Linked DNA regions of Oryzias latipes. The protein of the gene in region 1 interacts with the protein of each later gene in a biochemical or structural test. Links are inferred from orthologs where the notes say so. Each region holds a gene or a part of one and is shown on either strand. Other genes may lie near its edges.

Region 1 (3,731 bases):
ATACAAACACAAATTAAATAAAATTTCATTTTTTTTCTTTTCACAAGTGCATTTATGTTTCTTTTCTGTTCATAGCTGCTTGTTCATGGGTTCATTTTCTCATATGAGCTTCTTCTGAACATAAAACAGACCTAAACAAAAACAAAAGGAAGAATGCATAACGGTCATGTAAAATAGTGCCTGAGAAAGTCATGATTTGAGATTTTCTTTTCACATTTAATCCTATTTTCCGTCAGTGCATCATCAGGAAGATGGACCTGAGAGAAAGGGGGTTTGTTGCTTGTGCTCCTTTTTCTGTTGCCGTAAGGTTTTTCCAGGGATGTGAGCAGAACCTGGGCCATCTCCCTTAAACACCTTCACACACTGTTCTGGCTCCATTCAAGTAAAACACCCTGATTGGCAGATCAGACCAAGCCAAGTGTGTTTGATTTTAGAATTACCATTACAAGAGAAGAAGTGTTTTTGCTATTTTCTTTTGATGCCAGTGGAATTGTTTGTATGTTCATTTGTTTCTCCCGTCCATCATCCTGTGATCATGGCTCCGTTTCGGTGCGTGAGCTCCTGGTGCTGCCTTCAGGTCATTTTTGAAACCGTGGGACTTTTGTGTTCCTGTAACTCTGTGGAATCCAGAGGTTGTAGATGTGGATGCATGCTGGTCACATGAGCATTCCTGCTACATGCCACTCCAGGACAGTTGATTGGTTGAACGTTGCAGCCACACAGACACACACACACATACGTCACACACACAGGAGAGCGTTGGAGCAGCAGAAGATCTCCTTGAAGGTTTTCCTCATCTCCTGGCTCCGGAAAGCGTAGATGATGGGGTCGATGACGGAGTTGCACATGATGAGAATGAGGTACATGTTGAAGTGCGACATGAAGCAGGTGCAGTAAGGGTTCCTGGGGCAGGTGATCATGAGGATGAGGTGGAGGAAGAACGGCGCCCAGCACACCACAAACACCCCGAGGAGGATGGTGAGGGTGATGGCGCCCTTCATGTTCGCCCGCTGGTGGATGGGCGCGTTGCCCGGCAGCGCCGCGATCCGCTTCATGTGCAGACGTGCCAGCAGGAACATGTGGACATAGAGGGAGGCCATGAGCACCAGCATGGTGAAGAACATGGTGATGAGACAGATGAGCACCGTGGTACTCTCCGAGTAGATGATGAAGAGGATACCCGACACAATGCAGCACGTCCAGATGCTGCTGATGACCACGGCTGCTCGCCGCAGCGTCACGATGTTGTGGTATCGCAGAGCGTAGAAGATGGTGATGTAGCGGTCAACGGCAATGGCCAGCAAGCTGCAGATGGAGGCCAGCAGAGAGCTGCAGATCATGGAGTCAAACACATTGTCCATGCTCTTGATGAGCCTGACAGGAATGCTCAGGTTGCCTCCGTTAATGAGCGCTATGACGATGGTCTCAGACGCGTTGGAGACGCTGACCAACATATCGGCTACTGCGAGGCTGCAGATGAAAAAGTACATGGGGGAGTGGAGGTTCTTGTTTTTAACGATCGCAGCAACAACCAGGATGTTCTCCAGCAGGCTGATGATGCCCAAAGTGAGGAAGACCTCAGTGGAGATCAGAAGCTGCTCGTAGCATCCCGCCGACGAGTCTTTCTGTCCTCCCAGGTCAGGAGGGAGAGTGGCCGAGGAGAGGCTTCTGTTGGGGACCGACCCATAAGGCAGAGTGGAGTTCATGATGACAGCAAGCAATGCTTTTCTTTGTTTCTATCAATCCATGGACTTTATGAGCTCCAAGAAAGAGAAAGAAAAAAAAAGTCTTCTTCTCTTTTTCAGAAGACAGTCGTCTGTAGATACCTTTTATTTTTCCACTCTGGTTTGTCAAAAACCCTAAAATAAGTCTAAGAAACGGAAATCAGGAGGCTCCCCGTCACTGTGCTCCAGCCAGCAGAGCATCGCTGCACAAGCCTGTTCGGTCTGTCTCTGCCCTCCGCCTCTCTGTTATTATAGCAGCCCCCCACCCCACCCCATCCTGTCTGCTCGCTGATAAGGAGGGAGGAGGAGGAGGAGGAGCTAGGTCGACCAAATGCATGAATGGAATTTTCACAATGGCTGCTGCAGCACTTCTTCCCCTGTGGTTCATTTGATAAAAATGTAAACAATATAGAAAATTAAAAAAAAGCTCCAACAGTGAAGGAAGGGAAACTTTAGTTTCAGTTTATAGATAAATTTGCTCATGAATATGAAATTTTCCACATTTTGATGTAAAAATAGAGTAATCCTGCAGTAAATTAAATGTTTTTAAACTAAAACTTTGCCTCATTGATGCATTTCTCTTAGTCAGCTTGTTTATGAATATACATTAAGCTGACATGAAACCAGCGACCGTCTCAGTCAGAGGCTTGTTGTCATGAAGACCCTCTGCTGAAACACAGAAAAATGAAAATAAACATACTACCATCCAGAAATGAAATATGTGAGTCTCTGTGGTTTGTCCTCAGAACAGGAAGTGTTCCATCACACAAAAATGATATTATAAATGTAACTGTTATCTATTGTAATCTATTACTTAGAAAAGAAGGAGAAACCTCAGATGAGGAGACCCGTTCAGACTCTAACGAAAAGAATGCAATGAGAACATTGGAGGAAACAAGAGAGATGAAGACTCAGCAGATACTTGCAGTAGACTAACCCTTTCAAACCCCCCCCCCCCCCCCCCTGCCTGGCTCGTCTTTTACGCCTCCATCAGTCAGGGGTCCGGGGCAACTCCATTGTTATTCAATCCATCCCTAAACAGCTGAAGAACAGTTCGTATCACTGTCAAGCTCCTGACTACAGTACCCATAATGCCCCAACAATCCATCCAGCAGTGTGGCTTTTACCAAAGTTGACCTAAAACATTTTGACAGATTTACGAGCGCCGTTAACCACAGAAAATCAACTGGAGGTCGGCAAGCACAACCAGAATTTATACTGAAGGCGCAAATTGGAAAAAATGTATTTATTTGTTTACATTAAATCAAACTGCTTCTTTCACTGCATTGAGATGAGCTTCTGTGACATTTTGTCAAAGACCTTTGTCAAAAGTTATACTTCCTGAATAAAAAAGCCTATTTTCTCTTTATTTTTATTTATGATATAAAACAAGAATTCCTTTATTGTTATCATAATAGTAACAAAACCATTACTATAAATCTTAATCTTCTGAAGGGTGAAGTCGGACTTTGGGGCACGTTTTAGGTTGTGGTCGGTCAGTGAGAAATCGACTCAAATGGGTCTTTTAGTTAAGAAAAAGCTCTTCTTGAGGAGCTGAAGAAGCTCAAGCTCCCAGCCAAAACCATGGTGCAGTTTTCCGCCATTGGTGAGTCCATGCTGACCTCCGCCATCACTGATTAGAGCCACACCCAGGATCAAACTCAGACAGCAGACAATGTTTACTATGCTGAGAGAATGATCGACTGGACCGTTCCGTCCCTGTTGGACCTGAACATATCCTCTACATTAGGGATGGACCTGAACATCTCCAGAACTCTGAGACGTGCAGGTCACTCTGGACACTCTGGGAGGAGGTTGAGGTCCATCTGTCTAGACGAGGGTTGCTCAAATCCAGGCCTCGAGGGCCGGCCCCCTGCTAGTTTTCCAGAAACCCTGCCTTATCTGCTGTTGATTACATGGATCAGGTGTGTTTAGCCGACGAGGAGCTTCAATGGCAGGATGGTTGGAAACCATGTGGGACACCGGCCCTCGAGGGCTGGATTTGGG
Region 2 (3,762 bases), on another chromosome or scaffold:
ACCACAGGGAACGCTTTTATAATAGATCCAAAGATGATCATCCATCCATCCAACCATTTCCTCAACCTGCCTCATTCCTTTTGGGGTCACAGCGTTGCTGGAAACTGTCTCAGGTACTGTTGGATGAAGGCGGGGTACACCTTGGACAGGGTGCCTGTCTGTCGCACTCACACTCACACACCTAGAGACCTAGGGACACTTTAGAGTAACCAATCAATCTATAAAGCATGTGTTTGGAGTCTGGAGTGCCCAGAGATTGATCCATCTTTTCAATATTTTTTCAAACATTCAGGACCACTTTACAAAATTTATCTAAATGTGACTTTCTCAGTTGAATGAAGATTAAATAAAAATATCCTTCTGCAGCCATGTCCATGGACGTTGGCTACAGTGCTGCTGACCTTAAACTCACAGTATATTTAATAAGCTTAAGTAACAGGAACATCAAGCTGTTTGGAGATGATCTGTTTTATTAACAGAAGGGGAGCAGCCATGCATCTACATGTTTTTCACTGATTATAAGGAGCTGTGGGAAGCGTGTCCTGGATGGAAAATGTGGCTGCTCTTCATCAGCTGCTCCATGAAATCAGATGAACTCTCCACTGATTCAGCATTAGGGCCACCCGGACCCTGGACAAAGAGATGCCGCTCAGCGCAGCTTTGTGGGTGTGTGACTGTACACCCTGACCCGCGACTTTGACGAAATCCCACCTGGGTGTTAAGCTGCAGAAGCTGCTGCCTGACATTTCACAGACAACAGCAGCGGCGAGGCGCTTTCACGCAGATTTAAACTGATGAGTTTTAGCTGCTGTAGCTTAGATGTGTTTGTTTTCTGTTCCATTTGTGCTTTTTACAATTAAAAGTGACCAAAAAATCTGTGATGTTAAAGACAAACATAAATTCTGAAAACATTTGTTTTGTCTAAAAATCGAGAAAACAAAATAGAAAAAAAAAATGAAGGCAGGTCTTCATGTGTGTGTGCTTGTATCCGTGTGTGTGCAGTGAATGGACGAGGGTGGATCTGGGACATTTTTTATTGATTTTTTGTGTGCGTTTTTGACCGCAAACCCATGCACACGTCATCTGTGTATGCGTGTGTGTGTTCACGCATGTGTGTGCGTCCTTGGTCAGCAGAATATAAAAGTCCAACTCTGCTCGAAGCATCAGAGCAGAAGAGGATCAAGGGAAATCTTCATCCGGCGGCTAAACAAAACAGAAAGCAGCAGCAATAAGAGGAAGAGGAGAGACAAAGAAACTATAAGGAGGGGTGAGAATATTTTATTGTACTTTATAATGAAAATGTAAAAAAAAGTTGTATTTTTAAAGTTTTACAGCCTTTTTACTTCACTTAATTACTAAATTACTAATAATTTTTAACTAACAGTTTCTAAATCAGAGCAGATTTTAAAAAAAAAATTAAGACCAGTGTTAAATATTCGAGGTTAAGAAAACAAAGTGCTTAATATATGAAACTTAAATAAATATTTTATTTTTATTTGTTAATTCTCCAATCTGATCTCCAAAATACATATATTAATACAATAATTTTGCATCATCTAATAATATTATTAAGGTAAAATGGTGAAATGTAAATTTCTTAACATGCTTGTTTTAGGTCTTTTAAAAAGTTTAAATATTTGATTTTAGATATACTTTTCTTAATTTTTGTGACAACGTGTAACCTTTGTGATTGAATAAATAAAAAAAAGGTTAAAAAAATGATATAACCGGTGCCAAAACAAGGTGCTAAAATAATATATCAATGTTTTGATTTTGTTTTTATTCAGTCAGATTTGTGGCCACCACTGTTTTTTTAACATATATTAAAAACAAAGATGTGTTTTTTTTCTTGTCAAATTACTTCCAAAACCTGTGGTTTTTACTTAAAAAATGAAATGTAAACAATAAAAGAAGAGTATAATTGAAAAAAAAATTAACCCCAAAAGATAACTAATCTACATAAAAATTGATTTTAAAACTCCAAAACTGAGTGGGATTGTGTTTTTTTTTTGCTTCACAGAGGATGTATACCGTTTGGTTGCTGGTGGCCGTGGTGGTTGTCGGTGGGGCTGAAGGAGCAGTCGGCCAATGCTGGAAGCACTCCAGCTGCCAGGAGCTGGACTCTGAGAGCAGCATGACGGTACAGAAGACGGTCAAAGCAACAATAAGCAGAATCTGCATTTCCTGATCATTTTCATCCACAGTTCAGCTGTTTTGTTGCTTCAAATGGAGTCAAAACAGAATTTTTTGACTCGACTTCTCTGTTGGTTAATTCTTCCTACATTTACCAATAATTCAGATTTAAGGGGTTTGAGAATCTGTAAAATAAAGTGCAAATTTTGACCCAAAAATAGGTTTTTCTTTAGGAAAATGTGATAAGCACTTTAAACTCAACATCCACATCTCCCATTACAAAAACACATCTGCTGTTTTAACACCTTCAGTTGACTGTCAATCTCATCTTTTTACTCCAGGAGTGCCTCCAGCTCTGCCGCTCTGACCTCACCGCCGAGACCCCCCTCATCCCAGGCAGCTCCCACCTCCAGCCTCCACCTCCCTCAGATCCCTTCTCTTTCATCTCTCCATCCCCTCAAACCAAACGCTCCTACTCCATGGAGCACTTCCGATGGGGCAAGCCCGTCGGGCGCAAACGTCGCCCCGTCAAGGTCTACACCCCAAACGGAGTGGAGGAGGAGTCCTCTGAGGTTTTCCCAGGTGAGATGAGGAGGCGGGAGTTGGCCAATGAGCTGCTGGCGGCTGCAGCGGAGGAGGAGGAGAGGGCTATGGAGGAGGTGGAGGAGGAGGAGGAGCGTCAGCATCTCCTGGCTGGCCTGCAGGAGAAGAAGGATGGCTCCTACAAGATGAAGCATTTCCGCTGGAGCGGCCCTCCCGCCAGTAAACGCTATGGCGGCTTCATGAAGAGCTGGGAGGAGGATCGCCAGAAACCACTGGTGACGCTCTTCAAGAACATCATCAACAAGGACGAGCAGCAGTGAGATTCCAGAAAAAAAGAAAAGAAAAAGGAGAAGTCAAAACACAAAAGGGGGGGGGGGATTTGCCATAAATAATCAGCAGGCAGCAAAGAGTTCTCATTGGTTCTTTTGTTCCCAATAAAAGACTCTGAAACTGCAGTGTTTTGGCGACAGAATTGTGAGGATTTTTACTGTGTTGTAAATAATAATATTCTTTAAATGAAAAGAGATTTATTTGCAAGCAATGACGAACGGTGTTTGTCTTTTTCTCTACATCCGACATCAGCTTAAAGTCCCACTCCAATCATCCTATGATCTATGTTAAAGCAGTGGTCTTTAAACTATGATTATGATTTTTTTCCAGTAAAATCTCTAAAATCTGGGCCGTTTACCAAGACAGAGTTTCTGCAGAAGCTCATCAGAAATTGACCTCTGAGTTGTGGGTGGGGCCATTGGCATGGAGTAAGCTCTACCACACTCCCCGTCATCCTTCTTGTTTACACTCTCTCCCACTAGCTTACAGCCCCTCACAACCCCAACCTAACATTTGCGGTGCAGTTTTGAGCCAGATGCCAGCTTGGAAGAAGAAGCAAAAATGTACTATATTTCCCGCACTAAACGGGGGCACCAGATCATAAGGTGCACCCTATAGCACATTCTTAAACTCACACTATATCGAGAAAGTATTGGCTCACCCACTTTGACTCGCACATGAACGGAAATGGCATCCCTATCCTAACCCATAGTTCAATATGATGTGGGTCCACCTTTTGAAGCTATTACAGCTTCA

What was found.
Region 2: the proteins of melanocortin receptor 4 (region 1) and pomc form a complex in vitro, tested with the Homo sapiens proteins (2 studies listed by BioGRID). The link is inferred for Oryzias latipes from reciprocal best matches to the Homo sapiens genes MC4R and POMC.

Annotation. Positions count from the first base shown.
Region 1 is NC_019878.2:23,831,431-23,835,161, reverse strand, and holds melanocortin receptor 4, read right to left. Parts: upstream 2,575-3,731; 5' UTR 1,707-2,574; coding exon 741-1,706; 3' UTR 634-740; downstream 1-633.
Region 2 is NC_019860.2:10,968,614-10,972,375, forward strand, and holds pomc (pro-opiomelanocortin), read left to right. Parts: upstream 1-1,146; 5' UTR 1,147-1,267; intron 1,268-2,020; 5' UTR 2,021-2,023; coding exon 2,024-2,140; intron 2,141-2,474; coding exon 2,475-2,996; 3' UTR 2,997-3,131; downstream 3,132-3,762.